Linked DNA regions of Canis lupus familiaris. The protein of the gene in region 1 purifies or fractionates together with the protein of each later gene. This does not show direct contact. Links are inferred from orthologs where the notes say so. Each region holds a gene or a part of one and is shown on either strand. Other genes may lie near its edges. The genes, in order: AXIN1, DVL3 and MAP3K1.

Region 1 (10,517 bases):
GGGGTGTGTGTGTGAAAAGAGGGTGCTCCATCAAGGAACTCACCTGTTCTGACATGAGGCTCCTGGGGCTCTTTGGTGTCACGTCTGGGTGGCTGACACAGTCCCTGCCAGGTCGCCCCTGCAGCACCGCAGGCCCGGTCTGGCCTTCCCTGGGCTCCCTCCTCTGGTCCACGGCTGCTCTCACCCTGCTCAATCGCCCCTCTGTGCCCACAGTTCTAATCTGCGGTAGCTGGGCTGCTGCATTTCCTCCAGGCCTTCTGACTCCCTTCCTGTCCCTGCAGGGTGGGAGCCCCAAGGAGCCAGGGGCCCGAGGGTCCTGTTCTGGTCCTGGGGCCTGGGGACACCTGCCGCCATGGGCCAGGAGGAGGATGGACGTGGACACAACCCTGGGAGCCTGGCCCGGCCACAGCAGCAGCTCTGCAGAACCAAGGCAAGCACTGGGGACCCGTGTCTGGGAGCGGGGAGGCAACATGAGGGCCAGTGTCTGGGAGCTCTTGCTGTTTGTCCAGCCCACCCAGGACTCCCATACCCCACAGAGACCCCGCTGTGCCCAGAAGGCCACCCACTGTGTCTCGTGGTCTCTAAGACTCCTAGGCTGAACGGAGTGGGGGAGGGGCTGCACTGGGGAGCCTGGGACTGTCCCAGCTGGATGCTGGTGAGAGTGACCCCCACTGTGATCACCCTAGTGGGGCCAGTGTGGGCTTGGTCGCATAGCCCCTCATCTATAGCCCCGACTGCCCCTGGGTGGTCTGGGCCTTCGGTAGGCTGGGGATGCGTCCCTGGTTGTCCTCATCCCTCACTGCCTCCCTTTCCTATGACCCCCTGGGAGAGATGCTGTGCTGAGACTTGAGGCAGGCTGGTGTGTCCCTACACCTGCACACCCCAGACAGGCACCACCCGTGGACATCTGGGTGGGAGGCTGGCTGTGGCCCGTGGAGCCCCAAGCCAGGACTTGTGCACTGGTATGGAGCCTGAAAGATGAGGACGCGCCGGGAGGGCAAACAGGGTCCAGGAGAAGATGTGGTGGCCTGTTGGACGGGGCACGGCCCTGCCCTGGAGACTGCGGGGAGCATCTCTTCAGGTGCAGGCCTCGTGGCTCTGTGGGGCACAGGCCCTAGGTGGTCACGGGGGTGCCAGAAGCAATTCCTGAGGGGCAGTGGTAACCTTTCAGTGCCACATCCTTCCCTTAGGGAAGGGCCCGGGGCGGGTAGACAAGGAGCTGGCCGGCTGTGCTTGCAGGTCGGGCAACAGCTGCTATGGCGACGGTGAAGGGCAGAGGTGGTGGTGCAGGAAGCCCTGCTCCCCAGGCTGCCGCGCCAGTATGACCTAGGGACAGCGTAGGAAGGAAAGCCAGGCGCTCGGCGGCCGGGCAGGGCGGCTCCGCAGCACCCGCACGGGCTCCCGCCACACCGCCGCTCGCCGCCCAGGCCCACCCAGACGCCCGCACCTGGGACCTGGCCCCGCCCACCAGGCGGCCCCGCCCCCTCCCCGCGCCCGCCGCTGCCCCGGGCCCCGCCTCCGCGCCGTCCGTCCCTGCAAGTGCTTGGGCCCGGGGCTCTAGGCCCCGCCCCCGCCCCGGGCTACGTCCCCGTCCTTCTCCCGCCCCCACGTTCCGGCTCCGCCCTACGCTCTCCGCTGCGCCCTGTGTTCGCGGTCCCTCCCCGACGCTCTGGGCCCCGCCTCCTGCTCCCGGATCCCCTCCTCAAGGCTGCCCCGCCCGGTGCTCCGGCCCCGCCCAAGTCCCTGCCCCAAGCCTTCGCCCCGCCCCCCGCTCCGGCTGGTGCGTCCCGTGCCAGTCCCGCCCCACGTATCCGAAACGCTCGCGTCCTGGCCCCGCCCCGAGCCTTTGGCCCCGCCCTACGCTCCGGGCGACCTCACTTCCGGTCTGGATCACGCTTCGGGGCCCCGCCCCCCGCTCCGGGCCCCGCCCCCCGCTCTCGGCCACGCCCCCGCGCTCCGCCCCACATATCGGCCCCGCCCCCCACGCTCGGGGGCCCCGCCCCACGCTCTTGGCCCCACCCCCCACTCTCGGCCTCGCCTCACGCTCTCGGCCTCGCCCCCACTCTCCGGGTCCCGCCCCACATCCTCGGCCCCGCCCCCCGCTCCGGGCCCCGCCCCACGCTCTCGGCCTCTCCCACACGCTCCGGTTCCCGCCCCACGTTCTCGGCCCCGCCCCCACACCCCGGGCCCCGCCCCACGTTCTCGGCCTAGCCCCTACTCCCCAGGCCCCGCCCCACGTCCTCGGCCCCGCCCCCACGCTCCGGGGGCCCCCCCCACGTTCTCGGCCACGCTCCGGGCCCGCCCCCGAGCTCCGGGCTCCGCCCTACGTTCTCGGCCCCCCCCACGTTCTCGGCCCCGCTCCGGGCCCCGCCCCCGCGCTCCGGGCCCCGCCCCACGTCCTCGGCCTCGCCCCCACGCTCCGGGGCCCCGCCCCGCGCTCCGGCCCCGCCCCCGCACTTCCGGGCGGCGCCGGCGGGGGCGCTCCGGCCTGGGCTTCGGCGCTCTGGGCTCGGGCTCCCCGCTCGGGGAAGCGATCGCGGCAGCCGCCGCCGCCGCCGCAGGACCGGCCGGAGTCGGTCCGGAGCCGCGTCTCCCGGTGCAGGCGGGTGAGAGCGGGCGGCCGGCCTCGGCGGCGCCCCCGCGGCCTGCCCCGCGCCCGCCTCCGGGCCGCCGCGCCGCCGCTGCGATGGGGGCCGCCCGGGGCCGCGCCCCCGCCCCGTCCCGCCCGCCGCGCCGCCGCTGAGCGCATGGGCCGCGCCGCGCCGCTCCCGGAGCCGGGCCGGGGCGCCGCCGCCGCCGCCGCCGCCGCGGGTGAGTCGTGCGGGCCGGGCGCGGGCCTGTGGGCCGCCCATTGTAGGCCGCGTAGGCCGGGCGGGCCGGGACCCGGAAGAGGGGCCGGTGGGTGCGGGCTCGGGGCGTGCGGGGCGGCGGCGGGGACGCGCTGCGAGGGCCGGGGCCGGGGCGGGAGCGGTGCGCGGGGGGCGGTGCGCGGGGTCCCGGGGGGTGGGCGTGAGCGGGGCCGCCCGCGGGCCCGGCCGGGATGCGCGTGTGCGCGGGCGCAGGTCCTGGGGCGGCCCCGTGACTCCGGCCCCGCGCGGGGCTCCGAGGCCCGAACCCCGAACCCCGGGCACCGGCTCCGCTCCCCCGAAGCCCCTAGCGCTTCCCCGCAGCTTGGAGCTCGGTGCCCGCGGAGCAGAGCCGCCCGGCCAGGCGGGGAAACTTTCTGCTTAGCGCTGAGGACAGAGGGGGAGCCCCAGTTCCCGGAGGGCCTCCCCGCGCAGGTCTGGGGTGGTTTATGAGGAGCCCCTGCCGCGCATCCCTGCCCCTCCGTTTTGCCCCCGTGCTCACCCTGCTTCTGCACGGAAGCTCTCCGGACACTTGCTTCGAGGCCCTTCTTTGGAGAACACACATGGTCTGAACCTGGACTCGGGTGCTAGCCCTGAGTTTCAGTTTTGAGAACCTGACATTCAGGCAGGAGAATGGACAGGCGCGCAGAGAACGGCGTTGCTGTGGGATTTTCAGGAGGTGTGGACGCTTCTTGAGTTTCTAGAGTCAGAAAAGTAAGTGGAGTCCTTTGGGCTACATTGGTCCTTGAAAATTTAGGAGGTGGAGGAGCAGATCACCTTGTGGAACAGCGGCCCTAAGCTTTTCAGGGTTTAGGTACCGGACAGGACAGCGTCGCAGTCATGCTCTATTGCTTCCAGGCTCCTATAAATCAAAAGTTATGAAGTTAGGTTTTAGTGGGATGAACATGTGTCTATACGTGTAGCATGGAGCTGGCTGCTGTGGCTCCACGGGGGTATGGCTCAGCAGTGACTACAGGAGATTTTAAATGCCCTATCAGCCTTGTAGAGCATTCGTCGGAGCCGTGGAGGACTTTTATGGAATCCTTTTATTGATGGTGGTTCCAGGCTGTTGGCCAGATTCAAGGCTTGTGGGCATTTGCCTCTGACCTGAATTAACGTAACTGCTTTATGTGTGGTATGCACGTGCGTACACCAAAACGCTGGGTGTGCTTCTGCTGTGGGAACCTAGGGACGGCGGGAATCAGAGCGTGTTTCCATAATGTCAGTAACTTGGAGAGGTGTCTTTGTGCTTCTGGGGCCACCGAGGATCGTCTGTCAGTTGACAGCCGAAAACAGATGTGAGTTATAAGAGCTATTTCTCGCGGGCAATGAAAAATAGTTTAAAATGATCAGGGCGGTGTGGGGGGGAGCCTTGTTCACACGTGAATTAAAATGTTAGCTTTTAAAGATAGCCAGCTTTGTGAATAAAGGGGTAGATGTTGAGTTTTGTTGCTGTTTTTGTCCTGCTGTAGTTCAGCATCTATGGAGGGCTAACGTTTGGCATCTATGACAATTGTCGTATGTGTTCGTGCCAGTGAATAAGTGTGCTAGGTGTTGTGGGTCCTGCAGAAAACGTTTAATCAGGCTGCTACCAGTAACTTACACGGGAGATAGTTGCGTCTCCAGAGCAGGCGACGGTGACTTGTAATTAAGCTCCCGTTGAATTGCAGTGACTCGGTTCTTTCTCAGGACTGGCGAACTGGAATGTGTCTGAGGGTAGGGCTCAGGGCGCTGGGCGCGGGCCCTCCTTCCTAAGAAGGCGTCCTGAACAGGACGACATCAGGTGTCCATGAGCCAGTGTGGAGCTGAGACACCACAGGTGCCCATTCACGTTGACAGGGCTCAAAGAGAGGGACTTTGCCGTCGTCGGAGTCGTCCGTGACAGCGGGGTGCCCGGCCCGTGGGCCTTGACCTTAAGAAGCAGGCTGTTCCTGCTGAGATTACATACTGCCCGGTAGTTTTCACGAGAAGTCATTAGCTGTAGAAATGTCACCTGGGGCACGTTATTGTGACCCGTTCTCTGTCTCTGGGGGCTTTTCGCTTCTAGCCATCAGCATCTGCTGGCACACGCAGTGCGTGCAGTGTGAGGATGCAGCTGTGGGGGCGGATCGCCTGGTGGCCAGGGGTGGGGAGCGGTGGGCGGGGAGGGCTGCCCTTGGTGTTGGTACTAGATTTAAGGTGTTTATTTTTCTTCCTCTGGCTTATTCAGTGCTCTGGGTGCTTGGAGCTGACACGCTTCTCTCCAGCCCATTTCTAGCCAGACCACCTTGAGGAGTGCGGGCCGCCAGGTGGGGCGGTACAGCCCAGCTCGTGGGCAAGCTCCTGTGGGGCATGTCAGGGAGGACCGGAGACCGTGAAAGAGTCCCGACCCGGGAGAGCCTTCCTTCACACCTGAGGGGGGCTTGTCGCAGCAGCCACGCAACCTGTAGTCCCCAACCCCCGAGAGGATGTGTAGTTGGGATTTGAGCTTATGGAGGTGAATCACGCGAGCTGTGTGCTCGCTTAGTTAAAAGCTGTGATTGCATTTGGACTTCATTTTCTTTTTCCGGGTCTCCTCCGTTCTTCAGAATACTAAATTGCTATTTGCTATCAGGAGGGCGCTTTCCTTATAGGCGAGGTCAGAGGCAGCTTTGTGGTGGAAGCATGTTTTAATATTGTCCACACTGTGATGTGGGATGGCCACCATGTGTGTGGGGAGTCCTTGGGTGACCCACCACTGTTCGTACAGGTGTGTGTTGAGAGCTCAAGGAACACGTCCTTGCGTGTTTGCACACGTTAGGAAGCATATGAGGCGTGCAGCGACGGGGTAGGCAGAAAGCACAGTGGCCGTGGGCCCACAGGTGTGGGGAGCAGATGACTATCTGCCGTGTGCTGTGCGGCGAGCCTGCCTTTCCGTACCTGAGTATCACGGTGATCCCGCATCGCAGGTAGGGCGGTCATCCTCATCTTACGTGTGAGGAACCGGCTCTCGTCCCAGTTTTTGCAGCCCGGAACACTAGAAAGCACATCTCTTTTCTCCGGGCCTGTTGGCTTCCCAGAGCTTGCAGGGAAGGGCTTGTTGTGGCTGAGATGGGAGGTCCCCAGGCTGCTTGTGTCCGTGATGTTCTGGCAGAAAGACACCTGAGGGGAGTGGCACTCTGTGTCCCTGTTCTAGGCGTTCATTTTTGAGATCCAGAGACGTACCTGTGGTTGTAAAAGTTCTCACAAATTGTTTTAATATAGCATAAACCTTGTGACGAAAGACTGAAAATTTAAACTGAATTTCTGGCTTTGAGTTCGAGTGGGAGGGCATCATTACGAGTCTTGTCTTGAGAAAACCTCTGTGGTCATGTTTCCATGGACCCACCTTTCCTAATCCTTGTCCTCTTAATGGTTTCAACAGGACAGATTGATTCACTTTGGAGCTATAAGTACTGATGTATTAGGGTGCAGCGCTCATTGTTCATTGACGCACAGAGTCCCAAAATGAATATCCAAGAGCAGGGTTTCCCTTTGGACCTCGGAGCAAGTTTCACCGAAGATGCCCCACGCCCCCCAGTGCCTGGTGAGGAGGGTGAACTGGTGTCCACAGACCCCAGGCCCGTCAGCCACAGCTTCTGCTCCGGGAAAGGTGCCGGGGTCAAAGGTGAGACTTCAGCAGCCACTCCGAGGCGCTCCGACCTGGACCTGGGGTACGAGCCTGAGGGCAGCGCCTCCCCCACCCCGCCATACTTGAAGTGGGCCGAGTCGCTGCACTCCCTGCTGGACGATCAGGATGGGATAAACCTGTTTAGGACTTTCCTGAAGCAGGAGGACTGTGCTGACCTGCTGGACTTCTGGTTTGCCTGCAGCGGCTTCAGGAAGCTGGAGCCCTGTGACTCGAACGAGGAGAAGAGGCTGAAGCTGGCCAAGGCCATCTACCGCAAGTACATCCTCGATAACAACGGCATCGTGTCCCGCCAGACCAAGCCGGCCACCAAGAGCTTCATAAAGGACTGCATCGTCAAGCAGCTCATCGATCCGGCCATGTTTGACCAGGCACAGACGGAGATCCAGTCCACCATGGAGGAGAACACCTACCCCTCTTTCCTCAAGTCTGATATTTATTTGGAATACACGAGGACAGGCTCGGAGAGCCCGAAGCTCTGTAGCGACCAGAGCTCTGGGTCAGGGACGGGCAAGGGCATACCCGGCTACCTGCCCACTCTGAACGAAGATGAGGAATGGAAGTGTGACCAAGAGCAGGACGAAGACAGTGGCAGAGACCCTGCTCCCCCCGGCAGGCTCACACAGAAGCTGCTTCTGGAGACGGCCGCCCCGCGGGCCTCCTCAAGTAGACGGTACAGCGAAGGCAGAGAATTCAGGTGAGTCGGATGCAAGGCGGCCGTGTTTGTGCTCACGTCCGAGCCTTGGACAGCTGGCAGGCACAGGTGGCAGCCAGGAGTGGTCTTGTGTCCCAGGCCCCACGTGGGCGTGCTCCTGCTGCTGGGGGTGAGCGTGGCGGTGGTTCTTCCTCTTGCTACTTTGACGCTTGCAGCACAAGGTTTTAATACGTGTAAGTTGAGGGCCCTTTGGCAAGAACAGTCCCAAGTGTACGGCCTTGTATGTCACGAAGAGCCTCGGATGTCCCAGAGATCGTGGCGTTCAGACTTGGCCTGTGGCGTGCAGGGGGACTTACCCCATACGTGTAATCCTCTTGGCTTAATACAGAGAGGAGTGGATGTAGAAAGCGTCAGTGCGGCCAGAATTCTGGATGGTTGTCTTTCGTGATCGTTTCCCCAGATTCCTCCTGGAGGTTGTGCAGCGCTGGTGGGGAGGCTGCCGCAGCAGGTAGCCACAGCGCTCTGGGGCCTTCTCTGGGGATCGTGCTGGGGGACCCTGTCCCCTCTGCTCACAAATTAAGAGCTGTGGTGCGGCCCAGTCCCGGTGGCATTTGATTTTGTGCTTAGCGCCTGCGCATGTGGCGCCTTGCGACGTGGGAGGTGCCCGTGGTGCTGTCGAGAGCTGTTTGCTGTTGGGAAACCTGGCTCCTCGTTCTTTCCTCGGCTGTCCCTTCTGTGCTTACCGGAGACTTCGCTGATGCGGGTTGGAGCCCCTCGCCGGTGCTAGCCGCCGTTGGCAGGGTGCTCCCATTGCCCACTCCTCTCCCTGCACTGGGGACACCTGTGTGTGAAACTTTGGGAGCCGGGAACCCGCGTGACCCCTGCTGATTCAGTCAGGAGTCCGAATCCTCTCCCCTCCCGCGCTGCTGTTAAAACCTGCTGGTTTCTTCAGGCTCACGCTGGTACAGAAACTGGCTGAATGTTCATGAGGTTTAAGGGTCACGTAAGTGGTGCAGTTCAACATACGCCATTTAAAGTAATGTTTGTGTGCCTTTTGCTCATTGTCTTAAGCTTAACGTTATTGATATAGCAAGCTTTTTAGGACAAGACTTGCCGTAAATTTATTCTAAGTAAGGCCAGTAACTACCATGGTTCTTAAAACCCAACCTAAAATGATTTAATTAGAATAGTTTTAAGATGGAATCAAATTCGAGGCCTGGGCTTCAGGGGAAAATTATTTATTTATTTATTTTTATTTTATTTTTATTTTTATTTTTTTGAAAAATTTTTAGTTAAATTCTGATTTATTTCTTTGTTTCTTTTTTCTTTTTGAATGTGTGTGTATCTCTCGATTTTATTTTATTTATTTTATTTTTTTGATTTTTATTTTTAAATAATCTTACACCCAGCGTGAGGCTCAAACATACAACCCCAAGGTCAGGAGTCGCATGCACCCCTGACTGGGCCGGCCAGGTGCCCCAAGGCTTGGGAATCCTTTAAATCAGAAATCAGAATTGGCTAGCTCAGTTGGTGGGGCGTACAACTTCTGACCTTGGGGTTGTGAATTTGACCCCCCAGTTTGGATATACAGATTATTTAAAAAAAAAAAAAAAAAAAAAAAAAAAAAGGCAAAGTTTCCTGAGTCTTATTCTGTATGTTTTTCAGTTCTCGTTTTTTTTTTTTTTTTTTTTTTTTTTTTTTTTTATTTATTTATTCACGAGAGACACAGAGACACAGGTAGAGGGAGAAGCAGGCTCCATGCAGGGAGCCTGACGTGGGACTCTATCCTGGGTCTCCAGGGTCATGCCCCGGGCCAAAGGCAGGCGCTAAACTGCTGAGCCACCAGGGCTGCTCTTCGTTCTTGATCTCTCTTTTTTTTTTTTTTAAATATTTATTTATTCATGAGAAACACATGAGAGAGAGAGAGGCAGAGACATAGGCAGAGGGAGAAGCAGGCTCCATGCGGGAAGCTTGACGTAGGACTCGATCCCGGGACCCCAGGATCGCCCCCTGGGCCAAAGGCAGGCGCTAAACCATTGAGCCACCCAGGGATCCCCTTGGTTCTTGATCTTAAGCAGCAGCTTTGCTTTTAAATTACTAGAGTACGTTGGCTTTACTTGTTTAAGTGCGTTGAGCTGTAAGGACTGTGGCACATTTTAGTTTTGACTTGCCTGTCGTGGAGCTGCTGGTGCGGAGGAAGCCAGGAGTTGGGAGTCCCAGCCACAGTTGAACCCCATTCTGCTCGAGGTTGGCTCTGATACTTTAGTGAGTGGAAGATCTCTGATGTCACGGTCATCGTTTACTAGCACCGACAGGTATGAGGTCCAGCACATTCTGCTTTGTCCTGCTGGGGTGTGCAGTTGGGTGCACTAGGCTGGGAATCACAGGAAATCCAGCCTACCCTGCCTTAAACAGTGAAGGGGATTAGGTAACTTAAATCAACGAAAAGGTTAGAGGCAGGGCCAGTTTCAGATGTGGTTTGATCTGGACTCCAGCCAGTTTTCTTTTAAAGACTTTATTTTTTAAGAGCAGTTTCAGGTTATCAGCAAAAATGTAGAGAGGTTTCCCGTCCCCCCCAACAGCCTCCCCCACATCAGTACCCCTCACAGAGCAGTGTGTCTGTTGCAGCTGATAACCCTACATCAATACCACTGCCACCCAAAGCCTGGAGTCTCCACCGGGGTGCGTGCCTGGTGCCGGGCGCGCTGCGGCCTGGATGGTCCGTCGATGACACGTATCCGCCACCATTGTGTCGGCTGAGTAGGGTCACCGTCCTGCACACCCTGTGCTTAGCCTGCTCATTCCCCCCACCCCACCCCAGGCAACTGCATTTGTCTCCCCCACCGTCGCTTTTGCCTTTTCCAGAATGTTCTGTGGTTGGAATCACACAGCGTGTGCCTTTTCTCAGTAGCTTCCTTCACATGGTAACAGGAGGTCCCTCCATGTCTCCTCGCGGCTTCTGGGTGGTTCCTCGTGAGCGCAGGTGGCGCTCCGTGGTGCGGACGGACTCCGTTCCTTCGTGTGCTCGCCTGCTGAAGGCCATCTCGTTGCCCCAAGTTCTGGGAATCATTAATAAAGCTGCAGTAAACCTGTGGTGCGGTTTTTGGTGTGGACAGAAGTTTTCACCTCCTTTGGGTAAACGCCGTGGAGCACGATTGCCGGGTCCTAAGGTGAGCGCGCGTAGATCGGTAAGGAGCTGCCGCTTCTCTGTCCCTGCCCTCCGTGGCCGCTGTGCTCGCAGCTTGAGGGAGGCTGGAGCAGCACCCACGGGCTCGGGCTCCCTGGCTTGGTAGCACACGCTGCCCCCAGCATTCACGGGAGGTCCTGCACTTGGCTCTGCAGGCCCAGAGGGCGGTGTGTGTGCCTCCGT
Region 2 (10,517 bases), on another chromosome or scaffold:
ACAAGGTAGACTCCTGGTCTTTTTGTTTTTTTTTTTTAGACTCCTGGTCTGATGCTTCTTGAGGTTTATACAATGGCAAGCGCAGGATTTAAAGCCTGCTGGGTTCTTAGTAAAGGCTTTTTAATTGAATGAATGATGATGAGTGATACGCAGATTTGTTTGGTCCCTGCCCTTAGGAGCTTACACCTAGTTGGAAAGAGAGTGTGGAACTTGCTAAATATTGACACGGTTAATAACAAGCTTTTATTGTAAGCCTAGATCATGCCAGGCATTCACAAATCCCAGTTACCAGGACAAGACAAAGGCTTGAAAAGTTAAGAAACTTCTCTAAGATAGGAGGGCTAATAAGTGGCAGAATTAAAACCCAGATTTGTTCAACTCTGCTTGGGGCCTGTGTGTGTGTGTGTGTGTGTGTGTATGTGTGTGTGTGAGGGAGAGAGAGAGAGAGAGAGAGAGAGTGTGTGTGTGTTAATGCTGTGCAACGCTGAGCCCCTGAGGCATTCATCTCCATGGTGGGAGGGGAGGACTGTCTGAGGTCCCCCAAGGCTGTTGCTGAAGATCAGCTGATCCGTATGAGTCAGCAGAGCCTTGGTGACCTGTTGGTGACCCCTAGAAAGAGAGGAAACATCTGTAGCATGGAGCTGTGTGATGGGGCCTGCTGGGGAAGGGGGTGGGGGGGACTCAGCAGCAGTTTCCCACCACAGGGAGACCCTCTCCAGAGCAGATCATCTGCCCTGTGACCCACATACCCCATTTTCTTTTGAGCCCCAGTTCCCATAATGGGGTGCAAGCTTCGGGTACCCTGTAGCCAAGACTGGCTGGTGACTCTGAGCTACCTCTGTGTCCCTTCTTTTTAGCACATTCTATCCCTAGGCTTTCTGCCATTATGGCTTGACCAGGATAATTAGAGCTGCTTTCCCAGGGTCTTTGTGGGGTTGGAAATGGTGGAGGAACCAGAGCTGGGTGGGAGGGAGAAGGGCAGGCTCCGTCTTCAGACTTGGCGGTGAGTCCAAGAATGTGAGCATCACAAAGAGCCAAGCACGTTCCCGGCTCTGGGCAGAAGCTGCTCCAAGAACAGGACTAGGCTTCCCAGCTTCCTTCCTTGCTATCTTCTCTCTGCTCACAACCAGGCATGTGTCCCCGATCTTGTCTTGTCCCCGATCACATCTTTCCCTCTCTGTACTCCTGGGTTATTTGACACAGTCTGCAGCCATCAAACTTTTCCGTTCCTTTCCCTGGCCCCAAACTGTAATCATGGTCTGACTTCTTGCCTTGATGCATCCCTTTAGCCAAACTACATGCCTGTGTACACATCCACCCCCTCCATATCCCACATCACTGTCTCCCCACACCCGCGCCACACACACAGATCCACATCACCTGTCACTGTATGGGGAAAAATGTGAAATACTATGAAAAGACCATGGGTTTTGGAGTCAGGAAAGCTTGGCGTTGAATTCCATCTCTGACATCTTCCAGCTTTGTGACCTGGGACAAGTTTCTCCCATGTCTACTGAATGTTTCTCCATTTCTTTATTCATAAAATGAGGATCTTGTCCATACAATGAAGGTGATGTGAATATTACACATTCTTACTACAGGAAGATAAGATGGTATAATAGGTAAGAATAAAGGCTGAAGAATCACACTGACCAGGATTCAAATTCCAGTTCTTATTAGTGGTGTGACTGTAAGTGAATCTCTGAACCTACTAAGCCTTAGTTACTGTATCTATCTTAGCAATGCTGTGAGTATAAAAAGAAGTGATGCAAGTAGCTTAGTGCTTGGCCCATGATACATGCTCAGTAAATGAGAGCAGTTTGTACTATTATCATAATGGCAGTGGAGGATGTTCAGTAAATACCTTTCCCCTTTCTCTTTCCTAAACTCATCATCCACACCTCCCAAAAGAATGTCAAGATTCCCAAGAAGGGAAAGACAGAAATAAGGGTGTGCTTTTTCCTTGTTTAGGGTCAGAGGGAAAGAATAAGTCCAGCCCAGAAGAGCTATGTTGGGCTGGGCTAAGCACTCTCAGGTTCTAGGGAGTAGCCACTCTCAGGGCAGATAACACTTTGTCAGGTGTAATTTGCAATCACCTGATGACTGAGAGGACACCCTAGGATGACACATGGCCTGGACAGGGCTGTTGTCTTCCTGGTGGTGCTAAAGAGCTGTCCCTAAGTGTTCCCCACTTCTGCTCCCACTTGAATAGGCTTAGGTTAGTGGCATGATTCCCAGTTTAGGGTGGAGAAAGGAGCCCCTGAGTTAGGATTGTGATGACACTTCCATTTCTACCCCAGAAAGCTCATTCTGACACCCCCACCCTTTCCCTGCAGAGTGGTGAAGGAGGAGATTTCTGACGACAATGCCAAGCTGCCCTGCTTCAATGGCCGGGTGGTGTCCTGGGTAAGGAGCCCTCCTTAGCCCTCTCTCTTCTTGCGTTCCTGTGGTGGGCTAGACAGAGGAAAAGCATTACTAAGATTGTAGCTGGTGGGTTTATCCTTCAGTATCTGAATTTCCCCTGAGTTTTCTACCTGAACTGTTTCTCACCCCGGATTCTGTAGCCTTAGTGAAAGGTGAGGGGTGGGGGTGGAATGTGGGGAAGGAAGGGGTGAGAAACACTCATTGGAGACACAAATGTCTCCTTTGCCCTTTGAGGCACTTTGCCTGAGCTTCCAGCCAACTTCTCCCTTGGACCACTGACCCTTATTCTCTGTCCCCATCCCGCTACAATAGCTCATGCCCCCCATCCTCACCGTCTACCAGCAGTGAGTCCGTTCCTCATCACAGCTGACCTTTCACAGTCCTATCTCTTCTCCTCCATGCCCCCTGCTTCATTCTCCCCAAGGCTGCATGCCCGGCCAGAAGCCAACTATCTGCTTTTTCCCTGGTGCCCCTGTACCACACTACCCACCCATTCTATCCCCATCAGTTGGTGTCTGCTGAGGGCTCACACCCAGAGGCAGCCCCCTTCTGTGCTGACAACCCATCAGACCTGCCACCGCCCATGGAGCGCACAGGAGGCATTGGGGACTCCCGGCCCCCATCATTCCAGTGAGTGTGACCTGAGAGTGGAGCGGGCCCATGGGAGAGGGCTGCATCTGCTCAGCCAAGGGCTGGGGGAGGAGGGAGCCCCCAGCCTGCCCCCTCTCCCACCAAGTCTTCTCTTCCCTGTAGCCCTCATGCTGGTGGAGGCAGCCAGGAGAACCTGGACAATGACACAGAGACGGACTCCTTGGTATCTGCCCAGCGTGAGCGGCCACGCAGGAGGGACGGCCCAGAGCACAGTGCGTCTTCCCTAAACAGATGTCTCCCCTCCCCACCCCTACACCTTCCTCACTGCTTCCATTCAGCTACCCACTTCTCTGCCCTTTCCTGAGCTCTGGATGTGCCTGCCCGCAGCACAGCCCTTAGCCCAGCCCTCTGTCCTCCCTTCCCTCCTGTGTCAGCACTGCGAACCCAGCTGCCTCTATTCCCACAGCAACCCGGCTAAATGGAACTGCAAAGGGGGAACGGCGGCGAGAACCAGGGGGTTATGATAGCTCATCCACCCTTATGAGCAGCGAGTTAGAGACCACCAGCTTCTTTGATTCGGATGAGGATGACTCCACCAGCAGGTGGGGCTTTGGGTTCATTGGTACTTTGGGGCAGGTGACCCCTGAACAGTCCTGACCCCCTCACCTCCCAGGATGGTGGTACCCTGGGAGGGCAGTGGGTTTTGCATGGGGGACTTGGGCCCCGCAGTGCCTCTTATGGGGCAGGGCTGGGCCAGCCTGGTGGGGAACGACTGTGGGCCCTCCAGGTTCAGCAGCTCCACAGAACAGAGCAGCGCCTCACGCCTGATGAGAAGACATAAGCGGCGGCGGAGGAAGCAGAAGGTTTCACGGATTGAGCGGGTACGGGCCTGAGATGCCAAGGATGGGTGGGGGTACACTGAGCCCTGTCCAGGCAGACCCAGGGTGTTGTGCTTCCTTAGATCCCCTCCTATCGGGCCAGCGTTTGAGCCTTAGAGGGGAGGGAGCGCTGAGGGCTCACCTCGAGGAGGAGCTAGTTGGGAGCAGTGAGTTCTTGCCACCCCAGCGGTCACTGCGACAGATGGGGCCTCTGTCTATTCCAGTCCTCATCCTTCAGCAGCATCACGGACTCTACCATGTCACTCAACATCATCACAGTCACTCTCAACATGGGTGAGTCTGGTGAAATAATACTCTTGAGCTCCTGCTGTATGCCAGACACCAGGCAGGAGCTCAGCGAAACACAAGATAATGTTTCCTAAAAAAAAAAAAAAAAAAAAGGTTAATGTTTCCTGCCCCTGAGGAGCGCTCTCTCATGAACATAAACTAGTAAATAAACTGGTCATTTCCATATCCCAAGATCAGGGCTATGGCAGAGACAAGCACAGAGAGGTGTGGAAGCAGAGGATGACAGCAGGGAAGGCTTCCTGGAGGAAGTAATTTCTGATTCCTATCCCCTTTCCGTTTTTCAGCATTGCTTGTTGTTCTCTGATTTCTGCCTTAGGTACTGTCTTTAGGAGATAGCTCGATGTAGTGAAAAGAGCCCCAACCTTGGAATTTAAGTCTGAGTTTGAATCCTGGCTCTGCCACTTAATGGCTTAGAAAAGTTATCGAAGTTCTCCGAACCTCGGTTGCCTGCTTTGTAAAATGGGACTAAGAATCCCTGCAGCAGAGCTAGCAAGGACTAAATGGAAGTATGCTTGACCATGCTGAACACAGGGCCTGATTCAGGTTCAGTGAATGTTCATCCCAATCCCTTTCCACCCTTTTCTAATAAGGGGTTCAGAATCTGGGTAGGAACTTTGTTTCCCTCTTAAGGTTGTATCACTCTCTGTAGAAAAGTACAACTTTCTGGGCATCTCTATCGTGGGCCAAAGCAACGAGCGTGGTGACGGAGGCATCTATATCGGCTCTATCATGAAGGGTGGGGCTGTGGCTGCAGATGGACGCATTGAGCCAGGAGATATGCTGTTGCAGGTACCGTTGCCCACCTGGAATGGTGGTGTGGATGGGGAGTAGGGAGATAATCCCTGTCCCCTGCACCCTGCTCATTTAGAGCCCACTTCTTGGTAGGGGGAAGACCTCTTGATCCACTAAGGTCAGCCTCCCTACTCACCTCCCCAACCCAGCTGCTTATCCCACTTCTGGTCCTCTCACCCAGGTAAATGAGATCAACTTTGAGAACATGAGTAATGACGACGCAGTCCGGGTGCTGCGGGAGATTGTGCACAAACCGGGGTATGGATGGCATGGGACATTGGGAAGGAGAGGGCAGGAATTTCTGGCCATCATGCCAGGGGATTGGTCTAGATTCCGCGTACCCTGCCCTTACTAGGGACACCCTTGCTTTCAGGCCCATCACCCTGACTGTAGCCAAGTGCTGGGACCCAAGTCCACGTGGTTGCTTCACACTGCCCAGGAGTAAGTGGTTGGGGGACTTGGCCCTAAAGCTGGTGCTTGGCACATGTGAACCCTGTCTCTCCTTCCTTCTGTGTTGCCTGAACCCTCATACCTACCCTATTGGGCCTGGCAGTGGGCAGGGTGGACAGCCCCTGACCTCTCATCCTCCCTGCAGGTGAGCCCATCCGGCCCATTGACCCTGCAGCCTGGGTCTCCCACACTGCAGCCATGACCGGCACCTTCCCTGCCTATGGCATGAGCCCCTCCCTGAGCACCATCACCTCCACCAGCTCTTCCATCACCAGCTCCATCCCTGACACAGAGCGTGAGTGCCCAACCCTGCCCCCTAGGCCCAGCAGATGCGGTCCGGTGGGAGGGACTGATTAAAGCCCACATGGAGACTCTTGCTTAAAAGTCATAGCGGGCTGGAGAGGAGGCTGAATTCATTCCAGCTACCTCACACTGCAGCTTCTTCCCTCAGTGGACACCCGACCCTCACTAAACAGTGTTTGCCTCTGAACCTGTACTGAACACCCAGCAAGCCTCAGTTTCCTCTAGTAAAATGGGACCAATGATATGCACTCTACCAGGTTCTGAGGCGACGGATGGAGGTTTAATGAGAGGATATAAATGAAGCTTCAATTCTAGTATGTGGCATAAAGTAAGCACTCAGTAAAAAAACTGCCATTTTTACTATAGCACTCATATTATACAGTATGCTAAGCACCTTCACTTACATTATTTAGTTCTCTCTTCAAATATCCTTGCAAAATATGGGGTGCCTAGGTGGCTCAGTTGGTTAAGCATTGGACTCTTGACCTCAGCTCAGGTCTTGATCTCAGGGTTGTGAATTCAAGCCCTGTGTCAGGCTCCACATTGGGCATAGAGCCTACTTAAAAAAAAAAAAAAATCCTTGCAAAATAAATATTAAAGTCCCTATTTTTACAAAAGAGGAAACTAAGTGTCCTAGAAGTCAGTAATGTGCGTTCAACATTGGTCCATGATTTTTGGGTGGTAGAACTGCAATGCAGACTCTTCTCTACCTAACTCTGTAGCTCCTTTCTGCCTCACCATTCTGCCTCCCACCCCCAGGCCTAGATGACTTCCACCTGTCCATCCACAGTGACATGGCTGCCATTGTAAAAGCCATGGCCTCCCCTGAATCTGGGCTGGAGGTCCGTGACCGCATGTGGCTCAAGATTACCATCCCCAATGCTTTCATCGGTGAGAGGGCCCCATGGTGGGATGAAGGGCAGGGTGGGGAGTGTTGGGAAGGGCAGGCTGGGGGCTGAAGATCTCCCTTGGTCCACTTCTTTGAGCTGGAACCAGCCCCAGCCTTGTGGCTTCTGTGAGGTCAGATGAGCCCAAGTCAGGTGGGCCTCCCATTCAAGTGGCGGCCTTGCCCCTAGGCTCGGATGTGGTGGACTGGCTATACCACAACGTGGAAGGCTTCACTGACCGGCGAGAGGCCCGCAAGTATGCCAGCAACCTGCTAAAAGCCGGCTTCATCCGCCACACTGTCAACAAGATCACCTTCTCTGAGCAGTGCTACTACATCTTCGGTGACCTCTGTGGCAGTATGTGCCTCCCTGACCTCCTTGCTCGTCTCCTGGCTGGGAGTGGGGAGGTGCCCAGGGATGTGGCAGCAGACCCCCAGACACCCATGGGAAGCAGGAGTGGGCAGCCAAGCTGGGGGCCCAGCTTGAGCGCTGACCCAGGCTTCCTTCTCTAGTAGAAGCAGAGCCCAGTTGGGCCTTTTCACCTGCTCTGTGTCCCCATCTTGGGGTGGGCATTTTCAAAGTGCCTCCTCTGTTTTTGGCACCATGCAGGTTATTTCTAAGCGTCATGTTGCTCTCACTCAGTACTCACAACCCCCGCCTCCTCACCTTCAGGGAGATGGATCACTATCCCTATTTCAGCTGAGGAAACTGAGACTTCGAGAAGTTCAATAGTCCACCCATTCTCACAGCCAGATGCAGAGGAGTTAGGCCTTGGGTCCAGGTCTTTCTGGCTCTAGAGCCCTTTTACTTACTACCATCTGGAGCTGTGTAGGTGTGTGGTGTTGCCGAAGCATTGTCCTAGCAGAGTCAAACAAAGGTCCTATGGTTGGCCCCTGATCACCCTCCCAGCACCAAGCAGGTTCCACCAAGGCCAGACCTGGGGCTGGCCTGAGGCCCCAGGTCCCCAGCCTTCTCAGACCCTTGAGGGTGGGCCAGGCCTTGGGATGAAACTGGAGAAACTGTCAGGGCCATCTTATAGAGGGACTCTGCAAGCTGCATCGAGCAGTTTGGGCTTGATCTCGAGAGAGTGCAAAGCTAATGAGGGCTTTTAAGGAGTAAAGGTGTGCAGGGAACCCCCTCTTTTCCTGAGCATGTAGATAGCCCTTGGGAAGGAAGGGGAGTCCTCAAAACAGAACAACATTGCTCAGGGCTGGGAGCAGAGGCCCACTCCCAGCAGCCGCCTCTACCTCAGGGAGTCTTTGGTTAGTCCAGTGGTGCTTACTGGCTAAAGTCCAAAAACTAACTTTTAAAATGCTTCAGATTAGGATCTAAGACTAGAAAGGCTATTGCTGCAGGGCATAAGTTCATGATGGAGGGTGATAGGTGCATAGGGTTTTGAAGTTGGACAGGTCTGAGTTCAAATCCTAGCTTTGCTCTCACTGTGAACATGAGTAAGTGACAGCCTCTCATTCCCTTAATTTCTTGATCTGTAAGTTGGAGGTAATACTAGAAACTCTCAGAGCTGTTTAGAGGTTAAGACCTTGTATAATGCTTTGAGCACCATGTTCGGCCCACAGTAAGTGCTCTAAAATGTTCTCCATTATTCATAAACTTAATTGATTCTAAGATGAACATTTCTTTCACATTTCAGTATCTCTGAAATTGGGGTGCATCTTATAATTAATGGCTTCTTACTCTATCCTGTGTGGTTATTATTATCATCATTAGAATAAGTCAGCCCTGGCCCTGAACCTCCGAGGATCCCTATAGCTTCTCAAGACAGCTGTGATTTTTGCTTAAGAGATGTTGTTCTATCCCTGGAGCCTCTTGGGTCTTCTACCCATGGCCAAGGCCCCCAGAAGCCCAGGTTAGAGATATGCTGACAGGTCTTTTGCTTCTCACTGGCCAGGGTCTCCTCAGCTGGGAATGTGGCAGGCTCAAAGGAAAGAGCTGGAGATCTGGAATCCCCAGGAACCCACAGTCACTCCCTTCAGGACAATAGCCTGGAGGCTGAAATAGTCACCAGCTCTTGGGGCATGAGCCAGGGCAGGCCCCTGCTTCTCACCACCACTACACCCTGCTAGCTGCAGGCCTTAACATGTTGATGGCTTGGCCGGTAGATTCCACAGACCACCTCTCCTGACCTCTTCTCCTCTGGAAGGTTGGGCTGGCTTATTTAAGGACTTGGAACGAAGGGCTCCATCTGTATCCAGCACCTGGCCTGGAGGGCAACTCTAGCTCTCTCAGAGCTCTGGGACCTGGTATGATGAGGTGTGAGCAAGGGGTGTCCCAGCCAGGTAATCTCTTTGGTGGCCCCTTGTATCCCCTTTTAGGTAATTCCAATATTGGTCGGGGCAGCCTTGCCTTTAAGGACTGCACAGTTTACTGTGGGAGCAAGAGACATGAAACAAGTAATGTTAATACCCTGAGATGAGTGCTGTCAAGAATGAGGCCTGGCTGGGAATGGAGTGGAGGACACAGAGGAGGCACCTAAGTTGTTCTCTTTCGGATCCCTTTCCACCTTCCACAGCAGCACCAGAAAATCGATCTGAGCCAAGGGCTTTCTTTTGTATGGGGAGGCTCTGAAAGGCCTGTTTGTTTTGGCCTATAATGGGTATTTTTTTTTTTTAGCCCTAGGTGAAGGGTGAGGGCAAAATTTCACCTAAATTTCCCCAAACTGCTCCCTACTTCTTACTAATGACTCACCTGGAAAGGTAAGACGAAAGTAAGCAACTCCTAGCTTCTGCTCTGGCTACAATTTGGATTGACCTCAGGTGGGTCATTTAACCTCTCTGGACTTCACTTTCCTCACCTGGAAAAAATGTGACTAATTCCCTCTTCATAGGATGGTGGTAACATTTGCATGAGTTGAAGCGCTTTGTATTATGCCCAATGACTTGCAGGTTTGCAATACCTGTCTGCTATTTCAGTTTCTCATATTCCCTTAAGTGAACAGAAGAGAACATTGCCCATCTAGTTTACTGAGGAAGGAGAGGAAACTGTCAAATACTTGGAAGGGGGCCTCCCTGGGACTGGGAGTGGGGTGTCAGGATTCTGCCTGGAGCATCTGAAGTGGGGTGGGGACTCAGGGCCTTCCTGAGGAAGGTGTTTCTTGGTGTTGTGTCTGCAGTCTCCCTCTCCACCATCTCCGGTGGGTGGCACAGGGTGGGTCTGAAGAAGTGAGAGATCTCTGACCTCTGCCTCCTCTCATTTAGGGAATAAACTTCCACTGCTGTTAGGTGTCATAGTAAATGTACCGACCTAGACTGGGGACCTCTCTCTCCTGACCTAGGGGTGTGGGGGCAGGGCACAGACCCAACTCATCTGGGCCTCCCCTCCCCTCCACAGACATGGCCAACTTGTCCCTCCATGATCACGACGGTTCCAGCGGAGCCTCTGACCAGGACACTCTGGCCCCTTTGCCACACCCTGGGGCTGCGCCGTGGCCCATGGCCTTCCCTTACCAGTACCCGCCACCCCCACACCCCTACAACCCACACCCAGGCTTCCCAGAACTGGGGTACAGCTATGGTGGGGGCAGCGCCAGCAGTCAGCACAGTGAAGGTAAGGTGGAGGGGGTGGAGGGTGGTGCACAGCCCCAAACTGCTTCTGCAAGCTCTGAACATGCCCCGCTGGGGGCCTGCCTGTCGCCTATAGGCAGCCGGAGCAGTGGCTCCAACCGTAGCGGCAGTGACCGGCGGAAGGAGAAGGACCCGAAGGCGGGGGACTCGAAGTCGGGCGGCAGCGGCAGCGAGTCGGACCACACAACCCGCAGCAGCCTGCGGGGGCCTCGGGAAAGGGCACCCAGCGAGCGCTCGGGTCCTGCCGCCAGCGAGCATAGCCACCGCAGCCACCACTCAATGGCCAGCAGCCTGCGCAGCCA
Region 3 (10,107 bases), on another chromosome or scaffold:
GCTCAGTGGTTTAGCACTTGCCTTCGGCCCAGGGCATGATCCTGGAGTCTCGGGATCGAGTCCCACATCGGGCTCCCTGCATGGGGCCTGCTTCTCCCTCTGCCTGTGTCTCTGCCTCTCTGTGTCTCTCATATGAATAAACAAATAAAATCTTAAAAAAAAAAAAAAAAGATGCAACATCAAGATGGACCTCCAGGTTCTTGGTCTTTTTTGTGCTTTTTATAAGCAAGAGTTATGGTTTCCTACTCCTTTTAGCAGTGTTACCAGTGCAATATCATCTTGGGATCTCTGTAGCTTACTTTTTATTAATGAGCATGTTTATGAAGATAAAGCTTTCATTTTTTTTTAAAGAATTTTTTTTTAATTTTTATTTATTTATGATAGTCACACAGAGAGAGAGAGAGAGAGGCAGAGACACAGGCAGAGGGAGAAGCAGGCTCCATGCACCGGGAGCCTGACATGGGACTCGATCCCGGGTCTCCAGGATCGCGCCCTGGGCCAAAGGCAGGCACTAAACTGCTGCGCCACCCAGGGATCCCAAAGCTTTCATTTTTTTTTTAAAGATTTTATTTATTCATGAGAGACACAGAGAGGCAGAGACATAGACAGAGGGAGAAGGAAGAAACAGGCTTCCTGCGGGAGCCCAGTGTGGGACCTGATCCCAGGACTCCGGGATCATGCACCCTGAGCCAAAGGCAGATGCTCAACCACTGAGCCACCCAGGCATCCTTAAAACTTTCATCTTTAAATTCTGTTGGTTCTTCCACTAGGCTTTTCTTATTCTATCTTTAGACAGTTTTGGAGGATTGGCTATGTCCCAGTTTTTTCCCTATTTCAGTGCTTCTTAAGCTAGACTCTTTTCTGTAGAATATTTTGACTTGGTTTTTAATAAATTATCTACATTGCATCCATGAACATAAATGCCAACTTCTGTTAATATATAAACTGATTTGAATTTGTCCATTTCAGATCAGATTGTTAGTAAAAATTGTAAATGGAAATTCATCAGAATTCAAAACTTTGTAAACATGGTTATTAAAACAGGTGACATATGTCAGAAATACATCTTCTGAACAAGAAGAAGTAGTGGAAGCATTAAGAGAAGAGATCAGAATGATGAGCCATTTGAATCATCCCAACATCATTAGGATGTTGGGAGCCACATGTGAGAAGAGCAATTATAATCTCTTCATTGAATGGATGGCAGGTATGTTCCTGTTTTAAATTGCCAGTGATAGTACATGAATTTAACTTTCTGGCTGACATTGAATTTAGGAGAAACAGTTTAATGAACACTTGTTTTTAATAAGTAGTTTGAATTTCTAAAAGCAAGTCACCCCTACCTAACATAATATGAACTGTAAATACTTTGTTCTGTCTTACATTGATTGATTGATTGATTGATTGATTGATAGCAAAGCAAAGTTTACAGAGTGATACTACAAAGCTCCCAAAGAGGGAGGGAACCTGAGAGGGTTGGGTTGCCCATTTGTCTTACATTTAAATAAAAATAAGATACTGTCTCTACCTTTCAGAGTTTTTCAGTGTTTCTTTTTAAATGATTGTATAGCACTGTTTTATAGGAATTTTTTTTAAAACCTGCTATGCATAAGACCCATATTTTTCCAGGCGGCCATCATCAAGGAGAGATGTTCTAACTTGACAGTATAAAAATGAAATCAAGATAGAACTTGGAAAACTTATTGTAGGTCAACTAGCACTGACAGAGAAAACTGAACCTTATTATCTGCTTGAACAAATACAGACTAGGTTTTATGTGGTATCATATCATACATACAGTAAGACAAGTAACTTAGGATGTATTGAACGAATAAATGCTTGGTTTAACTTCTTAGATTTTTTTTACATTTGAAGAGTAGATTTCTATTCACATATCCATTCTTTAGTATGTTCCCTGATGTTGGTTGTAGCTGCGTTGATAAGATTGACTATTATAAATAATTCATAGTGAGATTTATTGAGTTTGTGACCTGTCCCAGGTCAGAGCATTCCCAGGAGAATATGAAGCCTAACGCTGGATCTTCTGGCTCCTCCCGTTCGCTCTACCTTCTGCTAAATAACATGTTTAGCACTGTTTACTTAAGTCTTATTTTTTAAGATTTTATGTGTTTGAGGGAAACACAGAGATAGCGACCAAGATAGCACAAGCGGGGAAGAGAGGGAGAAGTAGGCTCCCCGCTAAGCAGGGAGTCCCACTCGGGACTCCATCCCAGGACCACGGGGTCATGACCTGAGCCGAAGGCAGATGCTCAACTGACTGAGCCACTCAGGTACCCTACCCTGCAGCTTAAGTCTTATTACGAAAAGTATTTTATACACCTTCGTCAAAAAGACAGGTGAATTGTACATTGCAAAAATAGTCTGGTGCAAAACTGTTAAGTTTAAAGCTTTCTGAAATCTTGACCTTTCAAAAAAACTAGTTTGTGAAAGTTTGATGAAAATGTTTGACAGGTTTTGAGATGACTGGAATGTGTTAGTTTTTAAGTCCATTTCGCTTCTGATGCAGAGTATAAACTTAACATTTCAAATGTGAATGTCCGCTCTTATGGTGCAAGCTTATGTAACCAAATTGTAATAAGCGGTTTTAATTTTGGCTTAAGTTTATGATAATTAGTATTATATGTTTGTCTTCTAGGGGGATCTGTGGCTCATTTGCTCAGTAAATACGGGGCCTTCAAGGAATCAGTAGTTATTAACTATACTGAACAGTTACTTCGTGGCCTTTCCTATCTCCATGAAAACCAGATCATTCATAGAGATGTCAAAGGTAGGAATTCTTTTAATTACTACCTACTAACAATAAATAGAAAACAAATGAGAGTTTTACAACTTGGACCTTTATTGGCAGTTTCTAACTTAAGATCAACTCTATCGGATTGTTTTTCCTGAGTAACTCAAAATACTAGAATTATTAGAAGTGAAAGGAACCTTGGAGTCATGAAATCTGCCTTCCTCAGAGAGACTGATTTTTCCAGTCTCACTGCTAATTGATGGCAAACCAGTATAAAAATCAGGTTTCTGATTTCTTGGTCTCATGATCTACTACTGCCTCCCCAACCGTTCCTGTTTCTAGTTTTATTTAGAATAATTGGGGTATCATGAGCTTCTTTTGAGAAAAATCCTTTAAGATCTTTTGCAGTTTATCTTATTAAGAATAACTGGTTTTCTGACATGTATGTGTGACTAGTATTCAAATAATTTTATAACATTAACTTTTATGAGTTATAATTAAGGAATTATACTATTTTGAATTGGTCTAGGTGAGTATGTTTCAATAGAACTGTCTTAAAATGGAAACCACTAAAATTTTAACTTTGAGGGAAGATTTTTGTTGGGAACATTAAAGGTTTTCAACACTTAGTAACATTTCATTAAATGTCTGCCTTGATCTCCTTTTGCCTTGTTACTTTGATCTTTCCCTCTGAAGATTTGGATTTTATTTTTACATTGTTGATACCTGTGTGCCTTTTTAGGAAGAATGAAGTGAATCAAGAGGGGAGATTTCTCTGAACCCTTCCATGCCCACTTCCTTTGTTACTGTCCTATTTCATTAGTAGTATTTTACTGAGTTTTGAATCTATTCTTTTGCTTTTTAACATACAAGGTCATTTGCTCTTTTTGTTGACAGGTGCCAATTTGCTAATTGACAGCACAGGTCAGAGACTGAGAATTGCAGATTTTGGAGCTGCAGCCAGGTTGGCATCAAAAGGAACTGGTGCAGGAGAGTTTCAGGGACAGTTATTGGGAACAATTGCATTTATGGCACCTGAGGTAAGAAGCAGCTGTGAATGTGATGGCAAAGTAGCTGGCGTTCCATGTGACAGAATTATAGCAACTTAGGTTGCAGTGTTGTTCCGTATGCGCTTACCAATGAGAAGATTATGGCTCTAAAATAAGGTTTTAATGATATCCTTGATTTCAGACTCTTAATCCCTGACGTTCCATCTTTGTCTTGACAAAATTTTAAAAGAGCAGGCTTTAGTAGACTTGCTTATAAGACCGTTGCCAACAGAGAATTTTGGGGTAGTTGTACTACTTGTTTTATAGTATGCCCAAAGTACACATAATTAAAAATCTTAACAATTGCTCTCTCTCTATTCCAAAGGGAGATGAGCACACAGAAGCTAGTCTTCACAGTAGTGAAGAAATTTCACGTAGTATTGCTGTTCTGAATCAGGCTTCTTCAGTTGTGTTCCACACTCTTCATGTTTATACGTAGTGATAATTGGTTGTCCTCTGGCCCCACAGTGACTTAAGTACACAGGGGCTGCTTGGATATTCTGTGATCTGACTCCTTTTCAGAATCTCACAATTCTCCAAAGTACTTTTGTGCCACGTAGGAGATTAAGCTTGTTAATGAAATAAATGAGACATCAAGGTAGTCCATGGAGTTGCTGTCTGTACCATTGTTTTGGTCTGAAATAAAAACCTAGAATACATAACTACAGAATATTTTTCTCTTTTGTTAATGAGTCATATTTCTAAATTAACTATTTTAGGTACTGAGAGGTCAGCAGTATGGTAGGAGCTGTGATGTATGGAGTGTTGGCTGTGCTATTATAGAAATGGCTTGTGCTAAACCACCTTGGAATGCAGAAAAACACTCCAATCATCTTGCTTTGATATTTAAGGTAACTATAATATAAAAATTACTTTTTCTGCTGTAATTGGCAGGAGGCAGATTTTCATGGGTTCCCCTTAACTCTCAATCTAATGTCAAAGCATGTATCCTCCTTGAAATAAATATGCATATATGTATCTCTTGGAATTCATACGGTGTGATGAATGTTGGTGGCATGTACAGTCAGTCCTCATTTTTCAAGTAGTTAGGCTCTATAAAGTCACTTCGAACAATGAGTTAGCGAATAATGAATCATTGTTCTTAGGTGAAATATGTACTAAGTATATCCAACTTTCAAATGTAAAAATGTAGAGCTCTTTATGGACACAATCCACAAATCTTTAAAATCTGATTTACTATTTTCTGTATTTAAAAAATTTACACGAGTCAGGTACCAAATCCCGTCTGTCCTACCTTTCTGACAACTCTCAAATCCATTCTGTCCATTTCCAGTGGAGAAGAGTATAGTAGTTTAGATTTTTAGCTTCTGATCCAGACATGTGCCAGTTAAAAGCTCAGGCTCTGGAATGATACAGACCTGATTTCAAACCGTGGTTCCAGCCTTTAAACTTTAAAAAGCCATGTGACTCGGGAAATGACTCCGTCTGCCCTCTGTTTTCTTGGTTATAAAACATGTATAATTACAGCATCTACTTCATGGGATTAATATGGGAATAAAATCTCTGGGCCTGAGTAACTCGAAATCCAGTGCACCAGTACCTCAGTACCTCCCAGCACCTCCCCCAGTCCTTCCCACACTTCCATACCTTCCCCATTCAGTGCAGTTGAGTTTCTGATGTACTAAGCGGACTGGCCAGGTGTGGTCTCAGTAGCTTTGAATAGCTCTCTGTGCTGAATGACAGAACATGTATGATGAAGCAAGGATGACAAACCATCATACTGCAGAGTATGAGGAGAGCATATAGTATGAAGTGAATACTTTACCTGTCTAATCATTTTGATGTACTTAGTCATGTTCATTTGAGACAAGGAAAACCATAGATCCATCTGCTCAGGAAGTGTTTGATTAAATTCTGAAATCCTAAAATTTGAAGATTCTTAGAGGAAGCCTCCCATCCAGTGGGTGAGTTTTTCCAGAGACTCCCTGTCAGAAGCAAGTCCACCAATTTCAGCTTCAGTTCTTCTATGTACAGGATGCACGTGTACTTCTAGATCAGAAGCTCCTATTGTGGAAAGTTTAAACACACTGGTGGTTTTTCTTACAGATTGCAAGTGCGACGACTGCTCCATCAATCCCCTCACATTTGTCTCCTGGTTTACGAGATGTGGCTCTTCGGTGTTTAGAACTTCAACCTCAGGACAGACCCCCGTCAAGAGAGCTACTGAAGCATCCGGTCTTCCGTACTACATGGTAGCCAATTATACAAATAAACTATAATGGAGACAGGATGCTCAACGAGAGCAAAACTTTTGTGGGGAACCACGCTGATAATCTGCTGGCCTTCATGCCACTGAACAGCTATGAACAAGACCAGTGGGGAACCCTTACCTAAGTATGTGATTGACAAATCATGATCTGTACCTAAGCTTAGTATGCAAAAGTCCACAATTTGTGCACAAACTGTAAACCGTGCCTTTCAAAGAACTGGCCATAGGTAAACAGGAAAGCAACGAAGTTTTGCATGACTAACAAGCATATTTTGGTGTTTTTGGAGCACTTTTTCAGCAATATTAGCAGCTGAGGGGCTCAGGATCTATTTTAATGTTTCAATTTTTCTTCCATTTCATATCGTGATGACAAGCAGGGGGTTCTACAATTCCGTTCAGTTTTTTTTTTTTGTCACTGGCTATAAATCAGTATCTGCCTCTTTTAGGTCAGAATATGCTATAAGTAGCAGTAAATATATTTTTAAAAGTTGATAACTTCTTTATGAACCACAATTGACCTTTATTTTTTAAATGCCTGGGCAGTTGTGGTTCACTGTGCATTTTACTGTTGGCCCATTCATTTCGTTTTTGGAAATTATGGTTCTATATTTTCATTTTACCTTCATTTTGTTTAATATTCAGGGAAAGGTGATCTTTTCAAACCAGAAAAAAAAAATAGAACTAGGTGTGAACTAGGGTTTATTAAATATCTTGCTATTGCAAGAGGTTTTTTTTTTTTTAATACAGATTTAATTTTGTTTGTTTTAAAAATTGGAATATAATAAAATACTACCTTCACTGAGTCAGTCACTGCTCTTTTCATGCAGGTTAAATATAAATTAAGTGAAAATCAACATTCTCTGTGATGCAGCTCACAACCAAGATCAAGATTACCTTGAAATTGTTTTTTTTAATGTATTGGTTTCTTTTGTAGGAAACTTCACACCACTGAAGTCTTACTTTGTATGTAACAATCCATTGTTCATCATCACCACTAATAATATTATTAAACTGCTATTTTCCTTCTACCATGCATCATCTCCTTACAGTAGGCCTGGCTGATACTTAAAGGAAAATTAACTAATGACTCAACTACCAATGAGTAATAGTGTTTTTACAAAATAAATTTGCTTGTAACTTTGAAAACATGATCAGAAAGAAAAGTGAAATTGAATTTCACTTACACACTAATTATTGGATTTTGCACAATTATCTAATGGTTTTCATCTGAGTTGAATTCAGATGCATGGAATCCTGAAGGAAAATGGCAGCTCTTTTATCTTTTCGTAAGTCTTTTAAATCAAGTACTGATTAAATATTTAATACAACTTTTTGAGATGTTAAGTTTTAACTCTTCAGAAGCCAGTTGAATTATTGCAGAGTGAAACAGAATTGGTTATTCTCAAAGACTCAGGATAAACTAAATAAGCTATATAGAGTACATTTTAAATGTACATCACAAATTGGAAGTAAAATAAGTTACAAGATAAGTTTACAGGGATATATTGCATATAATTTTTAAAAAGCAGTTTTTTTTTTTTATGTGAATGTGTCTCTTAGTGAAATTTTACATTCCTTTGTTTTGGAAGATTGGCAATATTTGAAGAGTTAAAAATAGTACCGAAATGTGAAGTTTGGTAGCTCTAAATGTGTTGTACTTGACTGTCTTTTTTTTATTTTCTTCTTTTTTGTGTGTGTGACTACTTAGAATTTTCACAACCCTAATAAGATTGTTTCCGAGTTTCTCATGTGCAAGCTTTAATGGATGCACTCTTGCCATTTTATGTACTGGAAGATCACTGGTCAGATTAATACTGTGTCTGACAGAAATGTAAACTGTATAAACTGAGGAACCTCAGCTAATCAGTATTACTTTGTAGATCACCATGCCCACCACATTTCAAACTCAAACTGCCTCTAGATGTCCAAATCCATTGTTTGAGTTTGTTTGCAGTTCCCTCAGCTTGCTGGTAATTGTGGTGTTTTGTGTTTTGTTTTGTTTTCAATGCAAATGTGATATAATCTTATTTTCTTTGGATCAAAGCTGGACTGAAAATTGTATTGTGTAATTATTTTTGTGTTCTTAATGTTATTTGGTACTCAAGTTGTAAATAATGTCTACTGCTGTTTATTCCAGGTTCTACTACCTCAGGTGTCCTATAGATTTTTCTTCTACCAAAGTTCACTTTCACAATGAAATTATATTTGCTGTGTGACTATGATTCCTAAGACTTCCAGGGCTTAAGGGCTAACTTCTATTAGCACCTTACTGTGTAAGCAAATGCTACAAAAAAAATCTCTGGGTTAAGAAAATTTGGCTTAAATGTATCCTTTGTTATTTTAAATATATCAAGATATTTTAATTAAAATTTTTACCCCATTGAACCAATTTTATAGTATTTGTACCTATTTTGGTGTTTGTCTTTATAGTAAATAAAAGTTTTTGAACAAAGGTTGGAATTTTGTTTATTTTGCCAGGTGCCCAGTTATGTCCTGTATAGCTAAAGGATCCAGACCAAGATCATGTGTTCCTCCTACTTGTCAAGTTTCTTCAGTTTCATTCAGTCCAGACTCATTCCTCAGTTTTTTCTTGACCTTCAGGACCTTAATATTTTTTAAGATTACAGGCTAATGTTTTATAGAGGTCCTTCGCTGGAGTTTGGTGCTTCCTCATGCCTGGATTCAGAGTATGAGTTTGTGACCGGAATGTGGGAGGGGTGACGCTGTGCTCTTCTTGGTGTGTCTTACCAGGAGGCGCTCCAAAGCCAATCTGTGCCAGTGCTGGTGATACGGTGATCATCTGAGTAGGCCTCACTCACCACTATCAAGTTACTGTTTCCCTTCATAATATCTAGCTTTATATTAAGTATTGTGCAGAGATGATACTTTGAGACTATGTAGTTTGTTCTTCATTCAACTTTAACCCTCTGCTCTTAGCTTTCCTGAATTCTGAATTACTACTCTGACACTTGCCAATTGCTGATTTTCTAGTTCTTGCATTCTTTCTGTATTTTATTAATGGACAGTTTGCTATAAAGAAGAGCTTCCTCTTCTCCCACTTATTATTCATTTATATAAAAATGGATTTGTGGATTCCTATTCAGTGAGAGAAAATCCATTACTGTCATCATGTATTTGCTCAAATTGTCATTCTCAGCCATTGGATGCCTCTTGAAAGCCAGCTTCTGTGTCCCAACTGGCAAGCCACCAGTATTCATTGCTCTTGGGTGTGCCTTTGTCACTGGCTCCCAGACCTTCCTGGTAGACAAAACTACTATATATATTCCAAGTAGTTTCTCTTGTGCACAGATGAGAAATATACATACATACATACACAAACCATGAGTTCATACCAATCTAATTTCAATTTACCACCACTATGGTTCTTCATTCAAGCTTCCCCTCATTCCATATTTTTAACACTTCCCTGGACAAAAAAAAACCTGACCCCCATGTACCTCAATATATGGTATATTAAGATCCATATATTAAGATCCAATATATGGATCTGTTCAAGATATATATATGATATATACATATATATATATCAAGATATATATATATCAAGATATATTCATATATATGGATCTTAATCTGTTCAAGTCCTCCCCCTAACCCCCTGAGTAGCCAATCTTCCTGATGCCCATCAGGCTTCCTTCCCTGCATGGCCCCAACCCCTGCTGGACTGCCTTTGTTCCCATTTACCTGTGGGCTTTAATACATATTTGTTCCACATATTTTTTTTAAAGCCATCTTACATGTATATATAAAAGTTGTATTATACATATTGCAGCATATGTATACGATATATTTTATTTTTTAGAACAGTTTTAGGTTTACAGCAAAACTGAGCAGAAGACTCAGAGATTACCCATATGCCTTCTGGCCCCATTACTCACAGCCTCCCCCCCACTATCAACATCTAAGGGCTTTTTGACCAGAAGAAAAGCTCTTCCAAAAATTTTTGTTTTTCTTTTAAATCTTAAGTGAAAATTATAACTCTTCAAACAGTCTACCTTATATGACTTGGTATGTTACATACTTTCACATAAATACTACTACTATTCCAAGGCAGT

What was found.
Region 2: the proteins of AXIN1 (region 1) and DVL3 purify together in Homo sapiens (affinity purification with western blotting; 3 studies listed by BioGRID and IntAct, with this or other methods). This does not show direct contact. The link is inferred for Canis lupus familiaris from reciprocal best matches to the Homo sapiens genes AXIN1 and DVL3.
Region 3: the proteins of AXIN1 (region 1) and MAP3K1 purify together in Homo sapiens (affinity purification with western blotting; 5 studies listed by BioGRID and IntAct, with this or other methods). This does not show direct contact. The link is inferred for Canis lupus familiaris from reciprocal best matches to the Homo sapiens genes AXIN1 and MAP3K1.

The regions. Positions count from the first base shown.
Region 1 is NC_049227.1:40,625,318-40,635,834, forward strand, and holds the start of AXIN1 (axin-1), read left to right. Parts: upstream 1-281; 5' UTR 282-430; intron 431-2,754; exon of another isoform or gene 2,755-2,811; intron 2,812-3,214; exon of another isoform or gene 3,215-3,560; intron 3,561-6,228; 5' UTR 6,229-6,311; coding exon 6,312-7,189; intron 7,190-10,517. UniProt on the Homo sapiens protein: Component of the beta-catenin destruction complex required for regulating CTNNB1 levels through phosphorylation and ubiquitination, and modulating Wnt-signaling.
Region 2 is NC_049255.1:17,228,467-17,238,983, forward strand, and holds part of DVL3 (segment polarity protein dishevelled homolog DVL-3), read left to right. Parts: intron 1-245; exon of another isoform or gene 246-2,336; coding exon 2,337-2,406; exon of another isoform or gene 2,407-2,454; intron 2,455-2,932; coding exon 2,933-3,054; intron 3,055-3,177; coding exon 3,178-3,287; intron 3,288-3,481; coding exon 3,482-3,617; intron 3,618-3,802; coding exon 3,803-3,896; intron 3,897-4,035; exon of another isoform or gene 4,036-4,117; coding exon 4,118-4,187; exon of another isoform or gene 4,188-4,272; intron 4,273-4,851; coding exon 4,852-4,991; intron 4,992-5,175; coding exon 5,176-5,252; intron 5,253-5,367; coding exon 5,368-5,435; intron 5,436-5,589; coding exon 5,590-5,739; intron 5,740-6,151; exon of another isoform or gene 6,152-6,506; coding exon 6,507-6,638; exon of another isoform or gene 6,639-6,823; coding exon 6,824-6,991; exon of another isoform or gene 6,992-9,982; coding exon 9,983-10,198; exon of another isoform or gene 10,199-10,291; coding exon 10,292-10,517. UniProt on the Homo sapiens protein: Involved in the signal transduction pathway mediated by multiple Wnt genes.
Region 3 is NC_049223.1:43,170,540-43,180,646, forward strand, and holds the end of MAP3K1 (mitogen-activated protein kinase kinase kinase 1), read left to right. Parts: intron 1-1,044; coding exon 1,045-1,207; intron 1,208-2,656; coding exon 2,657-2,788; intron 2,789-3,649; coding exon 3,650-3,792; intron 3,793-4,520; coding exon 4,521-4,652; intron 4,653-5,056; exon of another isoform or gene 5,057-5,164; intron 5,165-5,409; exon of another isoform or gene 5,410-5,494; intron 5,495-5,868; coding exon 5,869-6,018; 3' UTR 6,019-8,483; downstream 8,484-10,107. UniProt on the Homo sapiens protein: Component of a protein kinase signal transduction cascade. Activates the ERK and JNK kinase pathways by phosphorylation of MAP2K1 and MAP2K4. May phosphorylate the MAPK8/JNK1 kinase.